4 linked regions of the Arabidopsis thaliana genome follow. The protein of the gene in region 1 purifies or fractionates together with the protein of each later gene. This does not show direct contact. Each region holds a gene or a part of one and is shown in the gene's direction. Other genes may lie near its edges.

Region 1 (7,658 bases):
ATCGTTGAATAAACGGTTCCATTCTTTGCACGTAAGTCGTAATTGTTTGAGAGATGTGGCCGGAACACGACATAGTATCTCCTCTAACAACTCCTGTGGAAGGTTCAACACCATCATTGGAAGAAAGAATCGGTGGCTTTGATTACTATCATTATTTTTTAGGTTTTCGTGTTTCAACGTTTACTCAATGTTATCTTATTGGAGTTGTATATAACTCTTTCCTTTTTTTTCATTTTACTGCTATTTTTAGTTTTTTCTTTTCCTATTTGAGCTTTTTTTTTTTTTTTTTTTAAGTTTTTCCTTATCCCATCTGATTTCTATTTTTATTGTTTTACAAGGTTTTTATTTCCTGTTATTTCTCCAAATGATTCATATATGTAATTAATGTCAGTAAAACATTATTATGCCAAGACAAATGTCACTATGAAGAACTTGCTCGGTTGCTCCACGACATTACTTTGGTGTTTGATCTCATCATCAATCTTATTTGTTACCCATATCTCTTTCTTTGATGTATGTGTACGCTTTAATAATCAACACCGAAAGTTTCTCTTCTCTAACGACTCATAAAGAGATAGTTTCATAACAACCACGCTGATAGGGAAGACGTAAACGTTCAAATCTCTCTGTTGTATAATCAAAACTGAGTAAGAATATACCGAGCTGTTCCTATTTATCTTCATCATAAGCAAACCAGTAAGTGTTTCCCTTCAAAAGATAGGCGGTAGTCAGAATTTATGAAGTGGCAGTCCAGAGTGTGACATCATGATTCCTCCATGAATTAGAGTTCATATCATCGATTTGGAATTCTTGGTCGTCACAGTTTTAGTTCTTATAGCTAAAATATCTTGTAGCTCTTATTGCCAGATTTGTTGTCTTGGTACTCCGTTGGTAGTATCCAAGAACAAAGGTTAAATTCTGATTTGAGTCGACTCTGTTCTCATCACTTTCTCGAAATTAGACTAGTAAAAGTAATAAATAATATTCAAAAGTCCACATCCAAAACAAGATTCAAGATTTTCAAATCTTGATGAAAAAGAAAAAACAAACAGCAAATATTACACGAAATGGCTGGAAAAACTGGTTTTAAACAGTCTGAGAATTGTTTTGTTTTACCTTAGTAACATATTATTTTAGAGGTCTCGACGATGGACCAGAGGTAGCAACAGCTCTTTGAGCACGCTGCGTTTCACCGCAATACAGCATCTTTGTCTGTTTCTTAATTATCCTTGCTTCTCGCTTTTCGGCTTTTACAGCATTTTTCCGCTCTTTCTTCTCTTCTTTCGACTCTTGACCATGAGTCTTCCTCTTGATCGGTTCAGCTTTTGGGATTTCCGCTTTGACATCGGTTTGTTCAGCTCTCCTACCAGGTAAAAACTCGACAGGAATCCTCTCTCTCCCTTGGAGATTAATGATTCTTCCATTTGAACTCAATGCGTTAGCTAATGTTTCACTCAGCTTCTTCTGCCTAGCTGACTCTGCAGCAAGGATTTTACCAGGGAGGTTATCGAGATTCGAGTATGTTGAGACTATGGTTTCACAATCATGCTTCTCGCTTTCATCGCTGCTTTCTTCAGTCAGCTCTACAAATTCATCTTCATTCCCGTTATCAAAATTTTCACCATATTCTACAGTTCGGCGGATAACATGAGCAGCAGTGTCCACTTCCTCTTTATCTCTGACAGAGTCACTGTTCTTCAGTATATCCGCAGGGTTCATATATTTTTCTTCAAGCTCATAATCTTTTGCCTTCCCATGAATAAGATTCTGAACTTCTTGAGCCATGAAGTCTTCTTCTTCTTCTTCTTCTCCATCTTCAGCTATGTAACCATCACCGTCACTATCACTTCCATATTCATTGAGTTCGAGCTGATCAAATAGCTCATCAATTTGACGAGGAACTCTCGGGTTTTCAGCCACAGGTTCATCACTTTCTCTTTCTCTAACCTCACGTCTTACAGAAAACTCGAGCTCTCCATTGCTCACACCAGAAGATTCACCCTTTTGAGTAAGATTAGCTTGAACAACAAAATCTTCTTCCAAATCCTCAACATCAGAACCAAACTCAGACCCATCACTGTTTTCAAGCAACGCAGCAACTTCAGGATCAATAGCTTTCTGCACCTTGACGTTAACAGTCTTGGACGCAACACTATACATCAACTTATTATCATTACCTTCTTCATTCACCATACCAGAGATCTTCACACGAGACGCATCATAAGCCTTAACATCACGAGGTAACTGAGCAACCTCATACTTAGGATTCACATAGAAATTAGAACCACCACCAGTATTCTTAATCTCTCTCAAATGCTCCAAGTAATTATAACCATCATCAGGATACCCTAACTCTAAAATCTCCTTCCTCACATGAGCAGGTAAAGAACTACTCGAATCCCCAAAACTAGAGTAACCATAATCCATCTCTTCAGGAGCATCATCAAACCGTGAGCTGTCTCCTTCTTCTTCTTCATCTTCTTCAATGAAACCATTGATGTTAACAGGGTTTTGATCAACTCGTAAGAAGATCTTATCACCACCTGGTGCATCACTGTATCTTGGGTCTGACGTATCACGAGGACACAACTCGAAAGTCGCCGCCTTTTTCTTATCAATAAACTTCTTCTTCCCCATTACTTACTAATTCACACCTTCTTAAGGGTTTTGCAAACTGTAAAACAATTACGAAGATATAAGATGTCTAACTTCTAAGTCACAGCAATCAACTAGACTATGTTTCAATCCTGACTAATAAAATGTAAATTTTTATCATCAATCAACACGAAAACATCGAAAAGGGAGAAACTTTAAGTCTAGAAACGATTCAAAAACACTAATTTAATGAAATTGAAGAAGCTTACCTGAAGAGTTTGAGAGAGAGAGGCGGAGAACAATGCAGATGAAGAACAAAAACGCTGTTGAAGATTTTTAGTTTTAGGGTAGAGCCACCCAAAACGCATCATTTTAGGGTTTAACCAAAACGCTGCGTTTTTGTGTTAAGCAAGCCAAAACGCGTCGTTTTTGGCAACAAGTCAAATTAAATATTTGTTTTATTTCCATAACTCAGTGTATGCCACTAAAAGAAATAATCCACCGCGGGAGAGTGCACCGAATGGTTACATGCACCTAATCTTCTTCTTCTCCTACTTTCTTCGACGGTACCTGTTGTTATTGTGCGCCATCTTGATCTTACGTGCGCCGTTGGCGCATTCTCTTATACCACCATTAACGTGCGTCAACACCGGAACCGTTGAATCAGACGTTACTGGTATCAGGTTCGATCGTTGCCTCGATACCGATTCTCTCGCCAAGATCTCTCTTTCCACCGTCATGTCGAAAGCTCGTGTTTATACCGATGTTAACGTGATCCGACCTAAGGATTATTGGGATTACGAATCTCTCAATGTTCAGTGGGGGTAAGATCGTATTTTTCGAAAATTATGAAAACCCTAGGAAGCTAATCAGTTAAAAAAATTGGATCTTGTAATGTAGAAATTGAGCTTTTTGTCTAGCTGGCGATGTTCTTGGTTTTTAATCTGGTTTTGAGGAGAGTTTGTTGGTTATTATGATTATGATCATGATGGGTGATGATGCTTTTGTTAAAGTTTTGAGCTTTTTTATGTGGGTTTCGTTGTCAGGGAGCAAGATGATTACGAGGTAGTGAGGAAGGTGGGGAGAGGGAAATACAGTGAGGTTTTTGAGGGGATTAACATGAATAACAATGAGAAGTGTATTATCAAGATTCTCAAGCCTGTTAAGAAGAAGAAGGTGAGTGTCTATATTACTTCAATTGGTGACTTATGATTGATAGCAATGAATGGTGTTGCTTTTACAAAAGGTTTTGTCTTTACTTAGTTTTGATTTTGGGTTGCCTTTCTGAATTTGTATGATCCTTTTACAGATTAGAAGGGAGATTAAAATACTTCAGAATCTTTGTGGAGGGCCAAATATTGTAAAGCTGCTTGATGTTGTCAGAGATCAACACTCAAAAACGCCAAGCTTGATATTTGAGTATGTAAACAGCACAGACTTTAAGGTTCTGTATCCAACATTGACTGATTATGACATTCGCTACTACATCTATGAGCTGTTGAAGGTAATTTTAATTTATTTTATGTAGAGTTTATTATTTCATTACGACTTCTGATTTGTGGAATTTTCTCGGTTCCACAACAAATTTAGTTCAGTGATAACCTTGCAAATTTCCTATGATATGCTGCAGGCTTTGGACTTCTGCCACTCACAAGGAATAATGCACAGAGATGTCAAGCCACACAATGTCATGATCGACCATGAGCTGCGCAAACTTCGCCTAATAGATTGGGGTCTCGCTGAGTTTTATCATCCTGGAAAAGAGTACAACGTCCGTGTGGCCTCAAGGTATGTATGATAGGCGCCTTCAAGATAAGTTGGTTTCCTATCCATTTTTAATATTTAGTCGTTATCAGTATCTAAGCTTGATCAAATGTTGTCTCAGATACTTCAAAGGTCCCGAACTTCTAGTTGATTTACAGGACTATGACTATTCCTTGGACATGTGGAGCCTCGGTTGCATGTTTGCTGGGATGGTGAGTACCTTGCGAAATGCTAGGCTTCCAATGCTACATTTATATATGATCATTCTTTTCAAAAAATTTCCAAAATATAGTATCGTAATGATGAAGTGTCTAAATTATCTTTTCTTGTAGATATTCCGCAAGGAACCTTTCTTCTATGGCCATGACAACCAGGATCAGCTCGTCAAAATTGCCAAGGTAATCAAATGCGTGGGTAAATGTGGGAATTTTAGAGGGATTGAGTGTTTTTTCACATCTTTAGAGTGTATGTTTGATTCTTGACTCAGGTACTCGGAACTGATGAATTGAATGCATATCTGAATAAGTATCAGTTAGAACTTGATACTCAACTAGAGGCACTTGTTGGGAGGTAAGCAGAACTCACATATTCTCTCTATAGTATAAGAGTAGATTAAAGCAGTGCCAATGACCAATCCTCTTTCCACAGACATAGCAGGAAGCCTTGGTCCAAATTCATCAACGCTGACAATAGGCATTTGGTCTCACCTGAGGTTTGTTTACTTTGTTCTCTGTATTCTATAAGAAACACAAACGCTTTTGTTTGTTGCCATGGTTTCTCTCTCGAGCTGTAACTTTGTTTTAAATGTAGGCGATTGATTATTTGGACAAGCTGCTCCGGTATGATCATCAAGACAGATTAACTGCAAAAGAAGCAATGGTAAGTATCATATAACGTAACTCAAACAAGTTTTCGTTCTCATAGTCTGCTAAATTGTGATGGTTTTATGAATTGATGACAGGCTCATCCCTATTTCGCTCAAGTCAGGGCAGCAGAAAGCAGCAGAATGAGGACTCAATAGAGATGTCTCGGCCGATTTTTGTTTCTTCTTCTTCTCCAGTGTGCTCTTTTGTTGTTTACTAATACATTTTCATATCCATATGGATTTCTTTTATAATGTCGAAATTATGGATTTATAAATATGAGAATTCTTATTACTCCCTCCGGTTTCTTAAAAGTTTGTGTTTTGAGATTTTTGACACTTTAAAAAATTATTTACAGTACCAATATGAATCTAGACTAAGTTGTAACTTGTAACGAGGCTCAGATTACACACACATGCCTTGTTTGTACACAATTATGTGTCTTTGATCATTTTGATCTACGTTATGTTTCCAAATTGATATTTTACTGAACTTGTATCTATACTTATTGTTCCCCAGCAGTAGTTATGAAATTATGAAAAACAACAAGCGTTCAAAAATCACACAGATGCAAAGCAAAATACGATAAATCACAACAATATCGAAACATATCAGTGTTTTACTTTCAATACAACAAATGAAAGTTCTTATAACTTGGAAGACTAATGGCCACCAAGGTAGATCACCTCTTTACTTTTAGTAAGTAAACATGATCTGGAACAATATTCAAAACCATTGCACTGGAAAAATGTTTTGTGTGGACAACGCTTCTTGCAAATAAAGCAAAAAGGTCGAGACATATGATGATTGTTTGGCAGAACACTTACCTCTGCACCGTACTTGTTGAACCATTTTGAACCGGGCTTCATGTAGAAGTCCACCCCAACCAAGCATTCAATGTGTATGGTGACACAACAATACTCATCACAACTATAAAACCGCTCCTTTGGATTTAATCTTTCCTCACAAATTTCACACCAATAAGTCATGGTACTTGTCTTGTCCCCATAAGAAAGAGTGAGCACATGCTTATCATGCTTATACCTCACCTTTTGAGCTAAAGTAGCACACTCAAAACACAAAGCAAAGTCGCACTCCTCGATGCAATTGAACGTTTCCTTGGTGGGACAATGCCCTGACTTCTTGCAAACCGAACATTTTCTTTGCTCTTCGTCTGGTTTGGATGTGAGGTATAAAGGATGTATATGACTTGGATGATCTAGTGGCTCGGAAGCTATGGCACACTGCACGTGTAGATAAAAACATTTTCTGCACCGATAGAGGAAACCGACAGTACGCTTCCTAGGACACACCGAGCATTCATACTCATTGATCTCCCCATCACCGTATCCTGCCTCTAAATTAAGCTGATGTGGATGTATCGGATGATCTATTTTACGAGGAAAATTTGCGCATGTTTCGTGGAGATTATAATCACAGCTAGGCGTACACGAGTAGAAGTTACCAAAATAGATTGGCGTAATGCATATGTTACACAGCTTATCCTCGTCGTAATCTCTTCCCGTGTCCACATCAAGTCTCAAAAGATGACGATGAGTGAAATGTCGTATGACTCCACTTCCTTTCGTTGCAAACGGTGGATCTACTTCTTCCTCATTTTCTTCTGGCACTCCCTCAAGTTCTACACCATCCCACACATTTTTTTGTGTTGCACATCTTGAATGTGCCGCATACCAACAACCATTTTTGATACAAGAATAGCCTCCGTATAATTTGTTGATCTTTCTGCGACAAACACCACAAGACAAACCTTCTTTCTCAAACGAAGAAGTAAAATAGATACGATGGCTATGGCGAGATATCTTTATGACACGTGGTAAGTTGATACATCTTAGATGAGTCACAAAGTCACAAGGCGGACACATATAGATAGGAGAGCTTGGATCGGCCAAGGCGCAAAGGTTGCAAGTTAAGAAAGCTTGTCTTGGAAACAGAGCAAGAGGATGACCATGCCACTCCGGACGGTGATGGTTTATCAAAAAGACTGGTGGTTTCCTCGCACAAAGTATACTTATAGCAAAATCGCAAGCCGAGCAATAATAAAGTATACGGCTAAGAGCTTCATCACAACAATAGCATTCCCTGGTACTATCTTCCTGCAACACGACAAGCTGGAGAGAATGATTTGGATGAAGAGGATGGTTGATCTCAACAGGAACATTGTTAAATTCTTTATGGTTATCGCCATTGCAACCTATGCAGATAAAATGGAGAGTGTCTTCTTCTCTTGATAACTTGAATGTCCGCCAGTTTACAGAAAGGCAATGCCACTTGTTATTGGTGCGCCACGAGACGTCTTCAAGAACACGAAATCTTCCGTTTTCCAGTTTTACTTGTGCTTGAGGGCACAAGGAAATATACTCCCCCGAGTTTGAGTTCATAGAGACGACGAGGGAGAGTATTTGATGAGTGAGT
Region 2 (7,315 bases), 3.7 Mb from region 1:
CAAACACAGGAAAGGCCACGGCCTAACCACGCTGCCGATCCAGCTACAACCTCAGCTGCAATAAAATTAAAATCAGAATTGTGATGTTTTTTGATAAAGAAATGATTTCTTAATGCAAGAGGGTGACTAGTCAAACATCTTTTAGCTGACTTTTATATTACAAATACGATAACTAATACGTGAGAAGCATACAATGTCATTTAAGCATCAGACTTGTCAAAATACAGAACGATGAAAGAAAAATCAAAGATTCCAGAACACATCATCCATTAGCTTCAACTTATTGACTATCAAAATCGAAGCAAGTAACAAAAGATTTTAGCAAAACATGCTTCCATGGAAAAACAAACTAGCAATATAGTCAAAAAGAGAAATGGAATCTGCAGGGAAGAAGACTAATCTCAACTAGAGAAATCAACGCAAACAATTTCGTATGGGAAATACTAAAAATAGGACTTACAAAGAAGATCAACACACATAACAAAAACTCCACGAATTTATGAGAAAGAGCAACGAAAAAGCAAATGGCGAAAGGTAGATCTGCGACACTAAATCTCAGATAAAAAGGCAATCGCCAGCGAATACACAGAGAGAAAGAGAAAACGTGGAAAAAGTGGGAGAGAGAGAGAGAGAGAGAAATAGAGATAGAGATGTATAATGATGAGAAAACGCGTTTGTTCCAGAAGAAGCAAAAAAAATAGAAAGAATCATCGTACAAAGTGAAGATGAAATTTACCAGAAGAAGAATGATAAACACTTCCTCGTTCTAGACCTTGTGAAATCCTTCTCACTGCTACGAACGATCCTCCTCTATCATCCATCTCTCTCTCTCACTCTCTTCCGAGTCACCTCAATCACCAAATATCTTCTATCAAATGCAGAAACAAACAACAAATACAAGTTATCGAATCAATCGGAACTTTCGGAATCTGAATCAAACAGAGACGCAATGCGAATCCATATCATGAGAAACTGATCAAAAACACCTAAACAGAGATAATCATACTATATGTACCCGCCGGAAAACGAACAAATCGGCGTCGCTGCTTTTAGATACAACAGAGAGATAGACGAAAACAGTTAGGATTGAGAGATCTACCGAGAGAGTCGCCGGAGTTTAGGCGGCGATTGAGCTTAACAGATGGCGGAATTTATGAAGATTCGGCCGTTTCTCTTCTTTTTTTTCTTTCTTTGGGTTTAAGAAAATAAAAATGGGGATTTACAACTAAAGGATCTGGCGCGTGTTGTTCAGTCGCTATCAAAAGCTTAGTAACGGAAAATAATGACTCGTGCGGTCATCGGTATTTAAGTCGGACGACGTCAACGACAATCTTCTAATTCATTTTTTTTATTATTATCTTTCAATCTTCTCTATTTTTAAGCATCTTTTTAAGATTCTGTTTTCTACTGTTGTGAACATCGTGAATATTGCTGTAACACAATAGTAATTCGAAATGAATTACATAATTAACTTATGGTTATTTGTTTTCATTTTTTCTATATACTAACCAACCATTAGAAAGTTATACTTTAAAATCAAAGATCTACTTGGTTGTTAACACATTCAAAATAGCTGAGCGGTTAAGGAATGGTTAGGCAACAACAAAATTTTGAATTACCTGATCAAAATATTGAAATCTAATCTCACAGAATTATATGATTAGTAAAGTCTTAGTGCCACACTTCCGTTTGCAACTAGTGACGCTTCGAGTTTGGAAATGCATTATCGAAATTAAACTTTATTTAATAAAATCTATCTAAAGGTTAGCTTTCAATCTAGTTTTTGTTTACTTTCTTAATAAAACAAAACATCGAATCCGAGTAAGATAATATAGCATGTAGAGTAATAATGTTGTCTTACAAAGCTAACCACATAAGTGAGATCACGGTATCATGGGTGCGACAATTTCATTAAGGCGTGGGCCAATACTATCACCGGTATGGTTCAAATATAGCCGACCCGCGTGTAAACTGCCTTTTCTTTTTGTTCGTGTGATTAGACATTCACTTAGTAACATGTCAATTATTAGTAGATCCTTACCGTTTAATGCAAAAATAAAATTTCAATATACAACTACTAGTATTAAATTTACAACTTCTATAAAACTTTTGGGAAATTGTCAAAAGTCGTTGTAACGAGGCATGACTACTTTCTCCGACAAAGGCTCCGTTCTGCAAGCAAATGTTTCTAGATCCCAAAAATTATGTTTGGGTGTGTATATTACATGATATGCCAGTCCAATTTTTATCTATCAATTTTGTATATAAACGTGGATCACAAACTTTACTTGAACACAAACGAAGAAATACAAAATATTTCTCAAACTAAAAAAAATAAAATAAATACAAAATATTTCTCAAACTATTGTAGTATTTAACTAACAAAAAAAGTCGAGATCTTTTTTTTTTTTTTTGTCGTAAGTCGAGATCTTTTAAAAATGAAACTTGTGTTGTCTGAAACAAATGCTTAGATTTTGAATAGATAATATAATGAGTTTTATGCAGAGTCGTGCACCACGCCACCACAAGCTCGTGTACCTTCAGTTTCTGAAACACGATTCAACTCTAGATTTTGTATAGAGTTCAATTCGTGCTCTTCATGTCCGATTTTTTAAAATTAAAAAGTTTCCTTAATGTTTACGATATTATTATTATCCGAAGACCTTTGTCAGGTCTAGCTCCGTTGACCAATGCATCTTCCAAGTTCCAACATGTATATGTACTCTAATTCCAAAAATCGTAATCTTGTTGGTTGTCATGTTTGTTCACGATTTATGGATTTCATCTTATGTGGGCTGTGGCCCATCTGTTTTGGTCGTTTCTGATGGAAGCAAGCAATGAGACTAAACTGACTTTAGCTAACACAAGGCCCAATTATAGAAGCCCATTGTAAAATAGAAAGAACAAAAACTGGAAAGCAAAAAAAAACAAAACAGTTGAGAGGAGAAAGAGAGACCATCTTTACATCGCCTATGTCCTGTCCTCCACTCTGTTACCAAAATTATATATAATTTTTTTAAAAAAATTAAAATTAAAAAGAAGAAAACCCTAGATTTCTCCGTCTCTCTAATTTCCTTTCTCTCTCAAGCTTCTCAGAAAGTCTGACACTTTCGAGAATCTAATCTCCAAATTTCTTGTCTTTTTGGAGAAGGAATCGAATTATGTACAAGGAACGTAGTGGAGGAGGTGGTGGTGGGTCATCGAGATCAGAGATCCTCGGTGGAGCTATTGATCGGAAACGAATCAACGATGCACTCAATAAGAAACTAGAGAAATCTTCAACTTCCACCACCACATCTAGGGTTTTCTCTTCTAAAGACAAAGATCCCTTTTCCTTCACATCTACTAAAACTCAGCTTCCTGATGGTTTGTTCCTCTCTTTTTCACATCTGTGAGTCTTTTTGTTGGTTAATTGCTTTCTTTCTGATGATTTTTTTTTTTTGGTGTTGCAGTGGAATCGGAAACTGATAGTGAAGGGTCTGATGTGAGTGGATCGGAGGGTGATGATACGTCGTGGATCTCTTGGTTTTGTAATTTGAGAGGGAATGATTTCTTCTGTGAAGTCGATGAAGATTATATTCAAGATGATTTCAATCTTTGTGGTTTAAGTGGTCAAGTCCCTTACTATGATTATGCACTTGATCTCATTTTAGATGTTGATGCTTCCAACAGTAAGTCATCTCTCTTCTTCTTCTTCTTTCTTTTTTTGTTAATAAGGAGCTAGTAAAGTTTGGTCTGAAATCTTGTATCTATGTTTAGGTGAGATGTTTACTGATGAACAGCATGAAATGGTGGAATCAGCTGCTGAGATGCTATATGGTCTTATTCATGTTCGTTACATTTTGACTACTAAAGGAATGGCTGCAATGGTTAGTGAGAGAATCTCTCTACTCTTTTGTTTATGTTTTGGTGCTTTTAGCTTCGTTATTTGATTAACGACGTCTCTTGTTTATTGATCTCTGTAGACTGAGAAGTACAAGAACTGTGATTTCGGGAGATGCCCGAGAGTTTTCTGTTGCGGTCAGTCTTGTCTTCCAGTTGGACAATCCGATATCCCGAGATCGAGTACTGTGAAGATATACTGCCCTAAATGCGAGGATATATCTTACCCGCGATCTAAATTCCAAGGCAGTATCCTTTTTCTCTGTTCATAATCCATAATTTTGGCTTTGCCATTTCAATATTTCAGTGAAAGCTTAGGTCTGATTTTGCTTCAGTTGAGACACTCTGATCTTGAGTGTCATTGTATCTTAGCGTTTTCCTTAAATGACTTGTGCAGATATTGATGGAGCGTACTTTGGAACCACATTCCCTCACTTGTTCTTGATGACTTACGGGAACTTAAAGCCGCAGAAGCCTACTCAAAGCTATGTCCCAAAAATCTTTGGCTTCAAGGTACACAAACCATGATACTAGTGCTCTGCATTCTCAATGGTGATACATTTAGTGGCTCTGTAATTGCATCCGGATGAGCAACTGAAACGATAGCTGCGGTGACTGGAGCATACATCAACCATTGGGTTAGAGGATGAGAGCTGAAGTTGAAAGATGGAATCTTGAAAGAATCTCATGAAGTTCCAAGAAAACTTAGAAGTGCAACAGCCTGGCTCATTGGGGGAAAAGAACGACACACTTGGGTCTTGTTGTTGTCTCCGAAAAGATTTTCCCCAGTTAGTTGGATTTTGTTTTGAACTGTTGGATTATTATTCGTTTTTCTAATTTCATGTAAAACTCATAAATTTCAACTGAAGTATAACTTAGATCAATCAATTTCATCAAAGATCATAATGAGACATGTATGGCCATTAAAATACACTCAAGGGACCAATATCTTAGGATGATTACGACACAAAAGCATATAAACAAGTCAATATATAGATTTTATAAGAGATCATTGCCAGACATAAAAACCAGTAACGTTAGTATTTGTTTATTCACCGACTTTTGTGTAATTAAACTTAGTACACTCAGTTATAGATTGTATTATCGTAAGGATTTCTAGTAAAGCACTTTGAAAACACACATCAAACTCTAAAAATTTTGATCTGTAAAGACTCGTGCGAATACTGTTACCAAGTTATAGGGTTAAAGAAGTGCTGATCAAAATAAAGTATAAGAAACATCACATTAGATCAGGATTCAAGGATTTATAATTAGGTGTTGAATAGGATCAAACATTCAAAACCTCAAGCCTAACTTTAGGTTATATAGCTAGAACTATTGGTAATGAAACTTTGAAAATTAACTCAACAAAAAATAAAAACCTGCTTAAACTGCTCAATGTATAAGTCTTGATTCAAAATCACAAGCATAGAGTTTGCAAAACTTAAATTGTCAAAACAAGGAAACCAAATATAAAAAGCCAGCAGACTTTTAACCCTCGATCTGCTCCCTCAACCTTCTGATCGTGCTTCTAACAGTGACCGCACTGGCGGTGCTGCAATTCACAAACGAAAACAATTTCATCAGAAAACAAATCATTGATTGATAACCAACACAAAGCTAATACAAATATAACTCAGAAATCACTTACTTCATTGTGTAAGCACCACCTGCCTTGACCTTGCCACAATCCTTGCAACCCCAGATACCAACAGCCTTTCGCTTCACTCCGTACTGCAATCATTTTGATCAAACCACAGTTACCACAATAATCCAAAACCAAAAGAGATTTAGAAATGAAAACAGTAACTGAATGTTAATCTCTTTCATACCTTGCCACAGAACTCACAGAAGTACTTGCTGTGCTGGCTGACCTCCATCTTCTTAATCTGCTTCCTGATACTCGCACCATAACGTGTTCCTGAATCACATAACCATACATACGTTAGGAAGAGAACTCACAATACATATAATAACCAACTTAGACCCCAAAATGAAGAACGAATTGCAATATGAAACCAGTGTAGACAGATCCATTACATATTGACAACATGTAATCAAAAATGAACGATACATGTTAATATACTCCATTAAAATGAGCTACAAGACTAAGCAAATTTGCAGATCCTATCCTTATTTTCGATAGCATTAACATCCTAAGCGATTCAATAAGAGATGAGTCAGGAACATTACCGTATTTGCCGACGATTCCAACCTTCTTCGTTCTCTTCGCCTGTGAAACATCGAAAAAGAGTAATAGAGTCAAAAGACAAAATCACAAAACTAGACTTCTATCAGAATCCACAGATCAACTATGAAACTTGAAATCTCAAAACGAAAGCTAGAACGAGACAGAAGGAAGTATACTCGAATAACTTGCTATGGAATTACAGAGATTCAAGAACAATAACAAAAAGAAAGGATTAGGTTTTTCACCATTTTTCAGAGCAGGAAGGAGGAACACCACGCCGTCGTAGATGAGAAACCCTAATGAGCAAGTTCGCTTGTCACATTAAGCGTCTTTATATACGAATCGAATCATGTTAGGGCATTTTTTAATATGGGCCTTTGAACTATCATATATGGGCCATCAAATCAACCATAAAGACATAAAAGCCTTGTTGCTCATATGAAGTGCAGACTTTTTAATATGGCCCTTTAACCTCATGTGGTAATATAACTCCGATTTGATTGAATTTAATCAAAATTTATTAATAACGATATTGGAAGAACATTGAGCTCTCTGTGCTTTAAAACTGATGTACGAAAAGGTTAAACACAGAAATGAGAAATTTTGGAAGTTTTTTGCTATATAATAAAATAGAGAAACTCCCTTTATAACAAATTAGTTTTGTTTGAAGCACTTGAAAAGAGAAAAGACTTTTAAGAGAGAAACAAAAAAAGAGAAGAAGAAAGGAACCCAAAAGATGGTTCCATTTTTTTTTCCTAAGTAAATTTCTCTAATATCTTAGACCGGTTAGGTGCATGAGGTTTGAAATTTTCAATCCTCAGACCTGAGCTCCGGCGAATCTCAACCAACGTTTCTTCTCCAGCTTCTGTTTTTATCATCTCCAAAACACTCCCAAGAACATCGCCGCCTAATCCAAACTCTATCAGACTTCCTGGTTCTTCTCCTCCTTCCTGGATTAACCGACCAATCTCTGTCAATGTCACTACTTTCTCTGTCACACTTTTCCCAAATATTCTACCAAGAAACTCTGCTGCTTTTGGAGCATCATTTACTGCATCCTCCAGGGTTTTCAAAACCGATTCAAACCTGTGAAAAAAAAAGCAGTAAAAGATTTAAGCAACAGACGTTTGATTAGACTAGGGCTTCAAGATTTATGGGCTTTGTTTACTTACCCTTTCACTAGCTGGACTTCGTTTAAGGCGTTGTCAGCAGATTTCACGAGGTTCACAAGGAGCTTTGCTA
Region 3 (8,162 bases), on another chromosome or scaffold:
CTGCAAATGAAAGAATTCAAATTCAGAAAAGAGAAGTTAGCTTCCTAGAAAATGTCTTCCCAAGCTGTTTATACATGGAAGATTCCGTTTGCTAGCTTATCAGTCTCAGTGACTCCTCTCATTAGAGTCTACACAAACAAAACTAAAGGGTTCACTTCATTATGCCGAAATGGAGCTCATTTATAAAAGAACAACCTGTGCTTAAGGAGGTAAATCCTCAGACCTGACATGAACATCCAACATAAGAACTAACTATGAACCTATAAAAGTGTTTTGAGAAGCCAATACGCACTATATATGTTCCTGAATTTACTCCTTTGATGATAACATTCCCAAAAATTACACCTTTACTTCTTCCAAACATGTGACAAGAACATAAAACCCTAATTCTAGCTAAATCACAGACTACCCAGAAACAAAAAAAAGGCTCCAAATGAATCAAAATGGACAAATATGGTATCATTATAACCGTAAGCGAAAAAATTGGCAAATTCCGATAGAAAAGTTAAGAACTTTGGGTTTATTTATCCTAGAAATTGGGAATCGCACCTGATAGACGATGATTCCGACAAGAGCGATGAGGAAGAAGAAGGAAATAAGCCATGTCCAGATATCTCCCATCTTCCTCCTTTTGGTTCCGACAATTTCCTCGGATCTATCCTCGTTGTTTCTTGGTCTTCTCTCTCTCTCTCTCTCCTCCCAATAATGTTCGATGAGGAACAGAGAGAAAGTTAGGACAACGACTTAGTGGTCGGCTAGTTTTGACAGTTGAGCTCGAGATTCTGATCGGAAACAAAGAAGCCTAGAGAAGGCAGGCACGAGACTCAGCTTCCGGTTCAGTTTCCGGTTAAAATCGAATTCGTTATTTCCCGAAGTACGTACCATTTACGCCGGTTTAATATTTCAGTATTATGAATCTATGATTTATAAGCCATTGGGCCTCTATAGATTTAGCCCAATTAAATAGTAAACAGTTTGGGTTTGGGCACGAGAGCCGTGTAATTTTTGTTGAGTCGTGTATAATTTTTTTTAGGTCATTGTCTTATTGTATAGTTTTAAGGAAATCAAAAATGAAAAATTAAAAACAAAAATGGTACCAGAAACCATTCAATCATGTGATTGAGAAAAGCCAGCTGTTTTCTAGTACGAAGAAAAACAAGCTTCATCTTTTCCATGTATTTTTCTTTCTTTCTTTTCTCAAGAACGGTGAATCCATAACTTATAATTGCAAGGATTAAGAGATTGAGATTATGAAGGATAGCATTTTGGAATTGTAATATGGTTTAGCTTAGTCGGATTTTCCTCACTAATTATAGATTCTGGCCTCTCTAGTGTGGTTCAATTAAGTTGTAAAATAAAGAAGCTATGTTAGTAACTAAATCCATCCAAGTTCAATAATCAAATAATTACTATCGCTATCAATGTAAAAGGTGGCATTATTTTTATTTCAACTATTATTATTTCTTACATGGTATATATATATTTATTTCGGGTATAACACGATATAGTGGAGTGGTTGGGAAAAGAAGTTCTCGTACAAGATTGTAAATCAAGCAATTTACGTTTGATACAGTAATAATCAATATCAGTATTTTTTTAACTGAAAGGATTGGCTCTTCGTTTTCACTAACTGGAAAATGAAGATTCAAATTTATAACATACCTATTTTCTGTCAACAGTTACTTATTTTTAGTTAATATATGCATTTAGGGACCAATCTTGAAATCTCATTCCACGTATGAAAAGTATCATGCAAAAAAGTATATATCAATTCTAAACATTTTATTTTCAAATTTCATTCACAAAATCAGCATTATTTTATTTAAGTGGAGATTAACGTAAGAAGTTACTTTGATATATTGTTACATTGTTTACATTGTAGACACCTTAAGTTAATAAAACGTATGACAAAGTGATGTTATTAATAGTTCTCATCACTATATTGCAAACGTCGTTTATCAAAAAATAAAATTAGAGGGCATAATCCATGGTTTTTGGGTGGTTGGTATGTAACAGACAAGATCATTCTTATAGATAGTACTATCCATCTTTTTAAGATAGGACTGCTCTAAATTATGTGGTAAGAAATTAATTTTCTGCCTTTTTATTATATAGATACAGTTATGGGTGGATTTTGTATATTAGACTTTAGAATTCATTGATCATTCATACATATAAGCATGCATACATGATACTTCTACATTAGAAGGTGGGAGACAGTTGTGACATGGATTTTATGACATTAGATATTGACCAATTAAAACTTGACTCCTACTAACCTCCACTTATAACTTTAATTATACGTTTTACTAAGAGAGATTTACAAGTTCAAGTTCAAGACACTTTTTGCATTGGAATAAGAGTAGAAAATCAAGGGTAAAATATAGAAAGACTTATGTGTGTGTGTGTGTATGTGTGTGTGTGACACATAAGAAATAGTCTTTGTTGTGGTTAATTAGCTGGAATAGTTGATCAAGAAAATGTGTTTTTAATATTCATTAGTATGAGTTTGTTCGCATTGATATGGTTTTATAGGTTGTATTAAATTATTCATAGATCAACGACATACTAAAGTAAAATTCTAAGTTTTTGGCTATGAGTGAAAAGCATGTGTACTTTGTTGGACTGCTACAGATTGGTTGGTATTTAGCTAAATGTGTCCATTGGCCAGTAATTTTATTTAGGTAAATATTGGTCCTCAGTCATAATTTTATTTAGTGTGTGTTCATGTTTTTTTGGGTTTTTACTTTTAACTAAAAAGAGGTAGAAGTTGTGAAGAGTACAAAGGATGTTGTTATTCATGAATCATGACTTCAAACTTCTAACGACGGCCAAGACACACATGATTCATGAACATTCATACAAAGCAAATGAAAGCAAAATTGCTATTGAGATTAACAAAAAGTAAAAAAATGGTTGGAATTAGTAGGAACCAAAAGTGTCGGTAAAAAAATGGAAGTTGTAAAAGGTTGCAGTCAAAAATAAACAACTTTCAACACAAACCAAAAAAAAATATTTACAAAGAAATGTACTTTATGAGTCAACAGAAAATGGTCAACACAACACAGTCTCTGCGTTAATGTCTTTCATTGTCTATCTAGAAACAAAAATTAAATTCTCACTCTACCCTTTTATGCCCAAATTCTGAACTCATCCCACGTAGACAATAGGACACAAATGGAAATCCCACTCACCCATTTTTTTCATTTTTGTAATCAAATCCAAAAAAAATGTTCAAAAAGTGTCTTCAACGTTCACATAATCTCTAACTAAATTCACAATAAGGATTCTATAAACCGAATTAATCATTTAGATTTTTTTAAAAACTCAGCCTATGTTAATAATTCTTTTTTTACCAAAACTTAGAGCCTTCAAAATTCTCAAGATCCCAATTTTGTTTTTTTATCCGTTCAACTGAAGTTACGAAAGTACATTACCATTGGTGGTTGAAACTGTATAGCACAAGAAAAACATTTATAAAGATTAAGAAGAGAAAAAATCTAAATAAAATGCATTAAATTAAGGTCCCAAATAGTTCCAATTTTTTTTTCTTTTAAATATTAAAGTAGGAGACAAGAAAAGAGATTTTCGAAAGAAAAAAAGAAACAAAAGTTGAAAGAAAAAAAACACACATAACAAAAACAATCCCCCAAAACCAACTTAAAGCGCGTGACTAAAACGCTCCAATGATGAGAAAGCGAGATAGACTACGAGCCAATGTAACGTTTGTGTTCTCGTACGACGTGGGACTCTCTTCTTTCACCTCCATGCGCGTGTGCTTCAACCTCCTCTGTAACTCTCTCTCTTTCTTCCATATTTCTCTCCTCTTCTTCTCCGCTCTGTCTCTTTCTTCGAAAAAACCATTCACAGTCAAGAACAAGAGCTCACTAGAAAGAAAAAAAACTAAAGAAGTGAGTAAAAATTTCATTTCTTCTGATCGCCGGAAAATGGCAGCGACGTTAAAGATCGTCGTCTTCCGGCGAAATCCTACTGCTGAAGAATGTCACACGTAAAATCCAACTCTCGCTTAAAACCCTTTTAGCAAGAGCCTCGAAATTTCCGATTTAGAAACTTTTTTTCTTTCTTGATGGCGACGACTAACGCTCACACGGCGACTCAACAGACACCACCACCACCACCTCCTCCTCCTCCAGCTCCTGCTCCTCCGGCGATGGATGGGTTAACAACAGACGAGCTAACAGCAAAAGCATTAAACAAGAGATACGAAGGTTTAATGACGGTGAGAACAAAAGCAGTGAAAGGTAAAGGCGCGTGGTATTGGACTCATCTTGAACCAATCCTCGTACGCAACACCGACACTGGTCTCCCTAAAGCCGTGAAGCTTCGTTGTTCTTTATGCGACGCCGTTTTCTCCGCCTCTAATCCTTCACGCACTGCCTCTGAGCATCTCAAACGCGGCACGTGTCCTAATTTCAACTCTGTTACTCCCATTTCCACCATCACTCCTTCTCCTACCTCTTCCTCTTCCTCTCCTCAAACTCATCACCGGAAACGTAACTCCTCCGGCGCTGTCACCACCGCGATTCCTTCTCGGCTTAACCCTCCTCCCATCGGAGGCTCTTATCACGTCACGCCGATAACCGTTGTTGATCCTTCTAGATTCTGCGGCGGAGAGTTGCATTATTCAACTCCTCCGCCGCCGCAGCATTTGATGCTCTCCGGTGGAAAAGATGACTTGGGTCCTTTAGCTATGCTTGAAGACAGTGTGAAGAAGCTTAAGAGTCCTAAACCGTCGCAGACTCAGTCTCTTACCAGATCGCAGATAGAGTCAGCTTTAGATTCTCTCTCTGATTGGGTCTTCGAGTCCTGCGGCTCTGTTTCTCTCTCGGGTCTTGAGCATCCAAAGTTTCGAGCTTTTTTAACACAAGTTGGTTTACCAATCATCTCCAAGAGAGATTTCGCCACCACGAGATTGGACTTGAAGCACGAGGAAGCCAGAGCAGAGGCTGAATCGAGAATCAGAGACGCAATGTTCTTCCAAATCTCATCGGACGGTTGGAAACCAGGAGAGTCCGGCGAGAGTCTTGTGAATTTGATTGTGAATTTACCAAACGGGACGAGTTTGTACAGAAGAGCGGTACTTGTGAACGGAGCTGTGCCGTCTAACTACGCAGAGGAGGTCTTGTTGGAGACGGTGAAGGGTATTTGTGGAAATTCACCTCAGAGATGTGTTGGGATAGTCTCTGATAAGTTTAAGACCAAAGCACTGAGGAATCTGGAGAGTCAACATCAATGGATGGTGAATCTTTCTTGTCAGTTTCAGGGACTCAACAGTTTGATCAAAGATTTCGTAAAAGAGCTTCCTTTATTCAAATCCGTTTCACAAAACTGTGTGAGACTAGCTAAGTTCATCAATAACACCGCGCAGATACGTAACGCTCACTGTAAGTATCAGTTGCAGGAACATGGCGAATCGATAATGCTTAGGTTGCCTTTACATTGCTATTACGACGATGAACGTAGAAGTTGTAGTAGTAGTAGTAGTGGTAGTAACAAGGTTTGTTTCTACGAGCCGTTGTTTAATCTTCTTGAAGATGTGTTGAGTTCCGCTAGAGCAATTCAGTTGGTAGTACATGATGATGCTTGCAAGGTTGTTTTAATGGAGGATCATATGGCTAGGGAGGTTAGAGAGATGGTTGGTGACGAAGGGTTTTGGAACGAGGTAGAAGCGGTTCATGCTTTGATCAAGCTTGTTAAAGAGATGGCTCGGAGAATAGAGGAAGAGAAGCTGCTTGTAGGGCAATGCTTACCTCTATGGGATGAGCTAAGAGCTAAGGTTAAAGATTGGGATTCTAAGTTTAATGTAGGGGAAGGACATGTGGAGAAAGTCGTTGAGAGAAGATTCAAGAAGAGTTATCATCCGGCTTGGGCTGCGGCTTTTATACTTGACCCTCTTTACTTGATAAGAGATAGTAGCGGAAAGTATCTTCCTCCGTTCAAATGTTTGTCGCCAGAGCAAGAGAAAGATGTAGATAAGTTGATAACAAGGCTTGTGTCTAGAGATGAGGCACACATTGCGTTGATGGAACTAATGAAATGGAGAACCGAAGGGCTTGATCCTATGTATGCAAGGGCGGTCCAAATGAAAGAGCGTGATCCGGTTTCCGGAAAGATGAGGATAGCGAATCCTCAAAGCAGTAGACTTGTTTGGGAGACGTATCTTAGCGAGTTCAGGTCACTAGGAAAAGTTGCAGTAAGGCTCATTTTCCTCCACGCTACGACTGGAGGGTTCAAATGCAACTCCTCTCTTTTGAAATGGGTAAACTCGAACGGGCGGTCACATGCAGCCGTTGATCGAGCTCAAAAGCTGATCTTCATATCCGCTAACTCGAAATTCGAAAGGAGAGATTTCTCAAACGAGGAGGATAGGGATGCAGAGCTTCTCGCTATGGCTAATGGTGACGACCATATGCTAAACGATGTTCTTGTCGATACGTCCTCAGTGTGACATTTGAATCTCTTTTTTGATCAATTTGATTTCACCTTAGTTTTTCATTAGAATTTGGCATTTCTTTAGGATTGTTTAAATTCATTTCTTTGATTTACTAGTATCTCATTCATACTATCATTAATATTCAATTTGTACTTGGTTTCTTTAGAAGGTGATTGAGAGTATTTGTATTTCTTTAGTCTATATAATATACCATCATAATTTTTCGATATAACATATGTGTCTATTTCAGTTTCTTGTCCTTATCATCGATGTATCGGTTAGAAGTTAGAAACTCTAATTAATGACAGCTTTTGCTTCTTCGTCTCTTGGTACAATAGTGTAATGATCCCACTCGCTTTTTTCATCGGAAATTCATATTCTTAATCATGACTTGAAAACATATCTTTACTTTTCGAGAGAAAATGACTTAACTTTTGAAAGTTTAATGTTCTTTCTTCATGATAACGTTTGTTGTTGGCAATGACAGACTAAAGATGCATATACTTTTGATATCTTGAGTTATTGAAGAGCAAAACCTGATTAACGGGTTTCAATTTAATTTTAACCATGATTATGATTATGAGATTATCTATCTATATCAATCTATTAAGTCTTTTAGAAGAACAAAAATGTGGATCCCCACCATGAAAGCAAGTTTTTCTTGGCTATTGTATACAAGTTCATTTTAAAGCTGTAAAAGGTGAAATTGTGAGATTGTAAATGTGAAGAACCCTTTTTGATGTTTATAAATGAAACCTTGTTAATCTTTTTGTAGCAAGATGTGTGATTTACCCATGATTTTTTTACGGCTATGAATAGTTGGAAAGGTTAAAAGATTTCTTCTTTATTTATGAGCCCATGGTATTGTACTTTGTGGGGTATTTAAAAAACTGTAACCCATGATTTATATTCTTGTAAATCATAACTTTATCAATAGTACCACAAATTTTGAAATCTAGTGGCAAGATTTCATAAATGGACTGACCGGACAGCTAAAGTGAAATTACACAAATTAAGTAAGAACAGTGAAAGCAAAGAGAAAACAAACAATTATTTCGAAATAGTAAAGAGAAATACAATTATTTAGATGCTATTTTTCCATTTAAGTTACAGACAAATAGATAAGTCAAGTACCTCTTCTTCTTTTTTACACACATGCTCATACACACACATACACACAAACAAATATGTACGACATTCTAAAACACTGTTATATTTAATAAGTAAGTTTCATACTTATGTATTGTTAAATAATAAAGTCGAATCTATATATAGGTTACTGATTGAAGGAAATATAGGTTTTCACTTAAATTATTTAAGAAGGAATCATTTTCATTGGAGTGGTAATTTGTAACTATGCTGAACAAGAGGGGAACCCTAAAAGTAGAAATCAATAATTAAATTTTATACCCCACAAATAGCAAAGTATACTACTTTTTTCTTTTATATACACTTTTTTTTTTCTCATTGTAAAACTTTGAACTTTCTAGCATGCATTATATTCACTTCGCCCACCTCCTCGAATAGTTGATCTTTAAAAAATCAAAACTTAAATTAGGTAATAGTTATAAGAAAATCTTAGAATACATCGGCTTTCACTTTTATTACTACTGCATGTACATCATCATTTCAATGAAAATTAAAAGACACAGAAACACAAGTTTTTTTTTGTCAATATATTAAATAATATGAGTTCATATTTCGTGGA
Region 4 (6,773 bases), on another chromosome or scaffold:
AAATAGCCTAGACATCTATCGAACGTCTAGCTACCGTACAACGATTTTTTGAACATTGATTATAGGTAACTAAATCTACATATACATTTTTGCCGCCATTTTGTGAAATAAATCTTAGAGTTGGAACTTATTTATAATGGCTGCCACTAGCTTTTAATTATTGTTTTTTTTGCAATAAATTAATTAACAAGCAAAAAAAATTCCAAATATATTCTAATCCCATATATCACGCAGATTTCTCCAAAATTGAACTAAATTTCGGTAACTATTTAAAACAAAAAATGTTTGACAAACCAAAATACAATTGCAATCCCTTAAAATGAGCAAAATGCACCTAAATACATTTCTTATCAATTCACTAAATCTAATTTCTCCAAAATTTGAATTAGATTTCGACAAATATTTTTAAAAAAATTTGTTTGACAAACTAAAATACAATTGCAATCCCGTAAAATATTTATTTTAATTATATATTTAAATTAACGGTGTACCACTGGGTTTTTTTACGGGACGAGTTTGGCGGAACGGGTTTGAAAGAACGTTACTTAATAACAATTGTAAACTATAAAATATTTTTATTTTATAGATAGATATAATTTGCAAACTTTTATATATACTGATTTAAAAAAATAAATTATTTCTACGGTATAACGCGGGTTAAAATCTAATATTTAGATAATTTTGAATATCCAATATATATGTTTAATTGTTTATAGTAGTAATAATTTTTTTCTGCTATTGTTGTAATAAAAGAAATCTCTAAAACGTTTTAGTAGGAAAGAAAAAAAACGTTAAATGCATAGAAATAAAGTTGGGCAGTAAAAGGAAAACAACAAGACCTAATTAAGTTTGACATATATAACTCAGGCGGCTATTACATCTATAAATATGGGTAATATATCTATCTTGCTTCTACTCTCTCTTTTCACTTTTTCTCTGTGTCTATTTGTCTCTCCGTAAGAAACATTATGCCTTCATCTGATTCCACGATGATGAAGAAAGGAACAAAGCGCAAAATCGAAATAAAGAAACGAGAAACCAAAGAGCAACGAGCCGTGACTTGCTCTAAACGCCGTCAAACTGTTTTTTCCAAAGCCGCCGATCTCTGTCTTATCTCCGGTGCTAACATCGCCGTCTTCGTAACCTCTCCCTCCGATAGTTCCGATGTTGTCTATTCCTTCTCCGGTTACTCCTCTGCCTACGAAATCGCTGATTGTTACCTAAATCGCAAGCCTCCACCCAAGATTGTTAACCCGGCCGGATCCAAACTAGGATTTTGGTGGGAAGACCCTGATCTCTACCATTCGTGTGATGATCTCTCTGAGTTAAGCATTATCGAGGATCGTTTACAGAGAATGAAGAAGCATGTGATGGCTTGCCTTGAGAAGGAAGAAAAATCTCAACTTGTTTCTAGTTTCGACCAAAACCCTAATAGTACTTGTTCTCTCGACGTCGAGGATTGTGATGGATCTTCTTATTCGCAAATTGCTTCTACTTTTACTCCAAACTCTGTCAACGAGTATTGCAGCGATCAAACCTTTTCTTCTTTCCATGGCGATCAAAACCCTAACCTCTCGTCTCCGTCTTTTGATCAGGACTGTTACTCCTCTCTCTATCAGATCTGTGGAGAATCATCTTCACAAGTTGCTTCTTTTGATCAAAACCCTAGCTCCGAGATCCAAGGATTTGAAACAGAGGAAGAGATTAACCAAATCAATCTACTACTACAAGAAACACAAACAGAGGCCAATGTCAATTTGGATGATGAGATCTGCTTTTGGAATGATCTATCCAACGATGATGTGTTTGGTCTAAACAGCTACTTCGGTCTCGATAACACCAATGCAATGATCAACTTCGGAGATTCCGACTTTAGACGTCATGTCTGATATGATGTGGTTGTAATCTTCAGAACTTGTTCTGATTTTGTCTCATTGTAAACAGAGATTCTTGATCCAATTTAAGTTTTTGTAAACCTTTTTTCCTTTATTGTTTGATACTCTGATGTGAACCCTTTCGAAGTTGAAAGTAAATTGTTTGAATCAGTTTTGCAATTCCACTTACTAGTTTGTTGATGTTAAATTCAAGTTAGTGATTTGAATTTGGATTCTCAGAAAAGAAGAACACAGTTTTTGGAGCTTTTGCTTGTAATTTTACATGAGTTTTAGCCTTTAGCTGAACACTTTTTGATTCCTTAATGGTCATCTTGTTAGGTGATGTGTTTGAACTTTGAACAGAGTACTTGAGATTAATTTAAGATTATGTATGTAACGTAGATTAGATGAACATATTTATACCAACATTTTATTAAAAAAGTAACTATAATCATTTTTCGAATTAGTAATTAATTTTATAGTTTCTTTAAGGTAATCATATATTTTACAATTTGTATATTAAAATTAGCAGATCAAACTCTGTTTTTGATAGAGAATAAATAAACTTTGTTTTTGATAATCTTTTCCCTTAGAAGTAAGGTCGGTTATTTTGACATCTTTAAAAATTAATTGTATAATTCTTTTTAGAAATATACCATTTTAAGAAAATAAGAATAGTTTTTTTTTTAAAGGTTTTTTTTTAGTTTTTTGTGAAAATTATATTTTCACATGTTTTTTTTCCGTAACTTTTTAATAGAAAATCATATATTTATTTTCTTATATATATAGATCGTCGATTAAGAATCTCGAACCCTTATAGCAAATTCGTTGCTCCTCTTTTTTTCTTTCTCTAACGCAGCAGCTTTGCTTAAATCCTCTTAGGTATTTATTGAATCTTTCTCCGTTGTCAGTGGAACGTGGCTTCCAAGTATTAGTTTTTGACTAAGTATAGTTCTGACTTTGAGATGTTGAGTTGATTAAAGGGTTTCTCGTAATCTTAAAGATGCTCGTACTGTTTGAGACGTCAGGTGGTTTTGCACTCTTTAAAGTATTAGATGAAGGAAAGCTCTCTAATGTTGAGGTTATTTACCTTATTCATTCTCTTACTTTCATTGATCTTAACCTTGTCTATATGTGTCGTTTGTTTTTAATATTCTAAGTATGTCAAATTTGTTCTTGTAGGATTTGGGTACTGAGTTCTACTCTGCAGAGTCAGCTCGAAGGATGGTTAAGCTAAAAGCTTTTCATAAGTTTGACAACACATCTGAACTCCAAGCAAGGGTCTACACAAGTTTTTGAAAAATAACTGTGATGATGGTGAAATCTTAGCTGTGGCTGATCCAAAGCTTGGAGATATCATCACAGAGAAACTGGTGTGTATTTTGTTATGATCTTTTACATATTTCTGTATATATATGGCTTGTGTCTTACGGATTTGCTTCTCTCCTCTAGGACATAGAATGTGTTCACAACGATGCTGTTATGGAGCTGTTACGAGGTGTGAGAAGTCAGTTAACCGAACTTTTATCCGGATTGGATGATAATGATTTAGCTCCAGTGAGCTTGGAATTGTCTCACATCCTTGCTAGATATAAACTAAAAATCACCTCTGACAAGGTAGTCATTGAGTTCTCTGTGTTTTGTTTTACCCTTGCTTATGTTACTTTTCCCCTCTCATACTTAAAATGTTTTGTTAGGTGGAGACCATGATAATCCTATCTATCAGTCTGCTTGATGATCTTGACAAAGAGCTTAACACTTACACTACGAGCGTTTGTGAATTGTACGGTTTGCATTTTCCCGAGCTTGCTAATATTGTACAGGACAATATCTTATATGCCAAGGTGGTTAAACTAATGGGGAATCGGATTAATGCTGCAACGCTAGACTTCTCTGAGGTAAAGCCTTATTTACCATTCTCCTTGACTTTTTGTTTCCATTAAACTATAGTTTTGTCTTTATGAAACATCTTTCTGTGTCCAATGTCATCTCAGATATTGGCTGATGAAGTTGAAGCAGAACTAAAAGAGGCTTCTATGGTGTCTACGAGAACTGAAGTCAGTGACCTTGATTTGATGCACATCCAAGAACTCTGTGACCAAGTTCTTTCAATCGCTGAGGACAAAACTCTGCTTTGTGACGACTTGAAGAACAAAATGAACAAAATTGCACCAAATCTAACTGCCCTTGTCGGGGAGCTAGTCGGTGCTCGCTTAATATCTCATTGTGGTAGTTTATGGAACCTCTCAAAGCTACCATGGAGCACAATTCAGATTCTTGGAGCTGAAAAGACCCTATATAAAGCCCTTAAGACCAAACAAGCCACTCCAAAGTATGGTTTAATCTACCACGCACCTTTGGTTAGGCAAGCTGCACCAGAGAACAAGGGTAAAATCGCACGTTCACTAGCTGCAAAATCTGCTCTTGCTATCCGGTGTGATGCTTTTGGTAATGGCCAAGACAACACTATGGGAGTCGAAAGCCGCTTAAAGGTATTCTTCTCTCCCGCCCGATCCTATCTACATTTTTCTTCCTTCTTTGATGGTCTAATTTTTTTCGACAGCTTGAAGCGCGCTTGAGAAATCTTGAAGGAGGAGATTTAGGAGCATGCGAAGAAGAAGAAGAAGTTAATGACAAAGATACAAAGAAGGAGGCTGATGATGAGGAAGAACCCAAAACTGAGGAGTGTTCGAAGAAGAGGAAGAAAGAAGCAGAACTTGAAACCGTGGAAGATCCCGCAAAGAAGAGCAAACAAGAGGGTGTAACAGGATTATTACTCCTGATGCTTTTAATTTCTCTAATCTATTTCTTTTCTGTTAACCAGTTGCTATGGTAAGCCATTAGCTCAGATATACAAAATTATGCGTGAGTAACACGTCTAGTTTCTTGACGTTTTGTTAGGATCATGTTGATACTCTTTCAAAGTCATTCAATTCAAAAACGGTTTCCCTTGTCATTTGGTTCGGTAGACTTGACAAAAAAAATAATCAGTTAAAGATGTGGTTAAGACCAACAAATATGTTCACAAGAACGTAAACATCAAGGTTCTGTCGCTTTAGACTTGATTTACAAGTGGATTTAAACATGATTAATTCACAAGCTAAACATCCATAAGAGTTGGATAAAAAAAAAATCCAATTCCATAAATAAATGAAAGAGAAAAGTGGATCAAAAACAAAATCAAATTTGTAAAAAGGTTATGTGGCTTTGAATTCCATAACCTTTGAATCACTCAATCGAACCTATTGAAATTGCGATGCTACTAAGAGCCGGACCATAACACATGAACATGAAACATTACAGTGGCCCCCATTCTAAAGGGGCCTCAAAGAAATTTTATTTTAGTTATATATACATATATTGATTTTTGATAATGGGAGAAAATAGTTAGTTTTATACATATAAATCCTAAATAACTGTGTGGTCCAAAATATTTGAGAATATTATTGTACTTTTGTTTTTAACTCCAGAATTTTGTTTAAATTAGTTTCTATTTACTCTATAATTTTTAAGATAAGAGTACTTTGTTTTCGTAATTTAAATAGGGCCCCGGATTTCATTGATCCGGCTTTAGGCTCTAGAAAATGCCTTATATGTATGTTGAACAAAAATGCAGAAACCTTGAGATATCCATGATTGATGTAGAGAAAGCTCTGATGCAAAAAGTGTCACGCTCAATATTTACCTTTTTTGTGTGTTTTAATCTTATATCTTTACTCTATTAAGACCAGAACACTCTGTTTGCTTGAATAACAAACAATTTAACAATAACCAAATATTTTGTCATTTCGACATATGTAAGGAACGTGAGTTGGTTTATACTCTATAAGGAAAAGAGTTACCAATGAACAATAATTTCCTAATTAAAAATTAGTAAACGTTAAAAGTATTTTTTTGTCATTCCGACATGGCCTCGTTTTTTTCCTCGAAAATTTAGAAATAATCATATTATTTTTACTTACAAAATACATATATATATATATATATAGATATATATAACTATAGTTAGAACAACTATATTGTCGTGAATAGGTAAATTTGGGAATCGTGATGATATATAATTTGGATCCGTAGATTGTAGGTGATGCATTTTTGTACCTAATCTTTAATTCCAAAATAAGTGGATAGCTCTATATGAAATTTGGCCCTACTTTATTTGACATGACCTTTTAAATATTTGAAAAGCCATGAGACAATTTATTTAATTTTCATAACCGTGATAATAAAAACAATTTGTTTGTAAGAACAATTACATAACAACATTTATCTAAATTATGAGTCTCGTCGGCGGTATGTAAAATATGTTAATATTATCCTTTTTCTATGTAATAGAATAATAGATTATCTTTCTTGGTTGGCACTAAATTGCACGTTAAATACTTGAAAACTTTGTATGTTGAAATAGTAATCCAATTTTAACGAAACTTTTTATTTTGTAAAGATTTTGATGGGCTTTTTAAAACAATTTCTACGACGTGGACAGACTTTGGAGTTTGTATGATTAATTAGATTCAGATCCTCACGTAGATTGAATAAACAATAACTCAATAATTGATCCTTCTCAAATTTTAATAAAATAAAAACATTTTTTAATAATAAAATAACAACATTACAAAATACCAAAATATGTAGGGTAATAGTTTTTGCTAATATAGTTATTATATTATTACTAAAATATAAATTCACATGTTAATATTTGTTGTTGACAAAAACAAAAACAATGATATTACAAAAAAACAAATAGGGTGATTAAACGCTAGAAGATCCGTAACCATTTTGATGACAAAAAGATATGGTACTAAGATGAACACGTTTTTGAGAATATTCAAAACAAATTCATTTCCGAAAGATTATCAATTTTCAAGCATACAGTATGATCTGGTAAACTATAAATGGTAG

What was found.
Region 2: the proteins of CKA2 (region 1) and CKB3 fractionate together in Arabidopsis thaliana (co-fractionation; one large-scale study listed by BioGRID). This does not show direct contact.
Region 3: the proteins of CKA2 (region 1) and AT1G12380 fractionate together in Arabidopsis thaliana (co-fractionation; one large-scale study listed by BioGRID). This does not show direct contact.
Region 4: the proteins of CKA2 (region 1) and AT5G27140 fractionate together in Arabidopsis thaliana (co-fractionation; one large-scale study listed by BioGRID). This does not show direct contact.

What each region holds. Positions count from the first base shown.
Region 1 is NC_003074.8:18,531,364-18,539,021, forward strand, and holds CKA2 (casein kinase II, alpha chain 2), read left to right. Parts: upstream 1-3,086; 5' UTR 3,087-3,123; coding exon 3,124-3,419; intron 3,420-3,641; coding exon 3,642-3,771; intron 3,772-3,904; coding exon 3,905-4,099; intron 4,100-4,225; coding exon 4,226-4,383; intron 4,384-4,480; coding exon 4,481-4,571; intron 4,572-4,691; coding exon 4,692-4,757; intron 4,758-4,846; coding exon 4,847-4,929; intron 4,930-5,007; coding exon 5,008-5,071; intron 5,072-5,169; coding exon 5,170-5,238; intron 5,239-5,320; coding exon 5,321-5,380; 3' UTR 5,381-5,710; downstream 5,711-7,658. Other genes in the region: AT3G49980 (F-box and associated interaction domains-containing protein), read right to left, coding at 1-117; AT3G49990 (Low temperature viability protein), read right to left, coding at 1,129-2,637; AT3G50010 (Cysteine/Histidine-rich C1 domain family protein), read right to left, coding at 5,885-7,658. UniProt on the Arabidopsis thaliana protein: Casein kinases are operationally defined by their preferential utilization of acidic proteins such as caseins as substrates. The alpha chain contains the catalytic site.
Region 2 is NC_003074.8:22,267,809-22,275,123, reverse strand, and holds CKB3 (casein kinase II beta chain 3), read left to right. Parts: upstream 1-2,950; 5' UTR 2,951-3,161; coding exon 3,162-3,366; intron 3,367-3,452; coding exon 3,453-3,671; intron 3,672-3,759; coding exon 3,760-3,869; intron 3,870-3,965; coding exon 3,966-4,131; coding exon of another isoform or gene 4,132-4,154; exon of another isoform or gene 4,155-4,279; coding exon 4,280-4,410; 3' UTR 4,411-4,854; downstream 4,855-7,315. Other genes in the region: AT3G60260 (ELMO/CED-12 family protein), read right to left, coding at 1-55, 737-821; AT3G60245 (Zinc-binding ribosomal protein family protein), read right to left, coding at 5,374-5,437, 5,534-5,616, 5,715-5,803, 6,076-6,115, 6,319-6,321; EIF4G (eukaryotic translation initiation factor 4G), read right to left, coding at 6,829-7,159, 7,246-7,315. UniProt on the Arabidopsis thaliana protein: Plays a complex role in regulating the basal catalytic activity of the alpha subunit.
Region 3 is NC_003070.9:4,212,806-4,220,967, reverse strand, and holds AT1G12380 (uncharacterized protein), read left to right. Parts: upstream 1-3,555; 5' UTR 3,556-4,087; coding exon 4,088-6,469; 3' UTR 6,470-6,710; downstream 6,711-8,162. Other genes in the region: AT1G12390 (Cornichon family protein), read right to left, coding at 550-621.
Region 4 is NC_003076.8:9,545,665-9,552,437, forward strand, and holds AT5G27140 (NOP56-like pre RNA processing ribonucleoprotein), read left to right. Parts: upstream 1-2,877; coding exon 2,878-2,955; intron 2,956-3,056; coding exon 3,057-3,101; intron 3,102-3,154; coding exon 3,155-3,247; intron 3,248-3,326; coding exon 3,327-3,491; intron 3,492-3,571; coding exon 3,572-3,772; intron 3,773-3,868; coding exon 3,869-4,366; intron 4,367-4,437; coding exon 4,438-4,710; downstream 4,711-6,773. Other genes in the region: AGL39 (AGAMOUS-like 39), read left to right, coding at 969-1,889. UniProt on the Arabidopsis thaliana protein: Required for 60S ribosomal subunit biogenesis.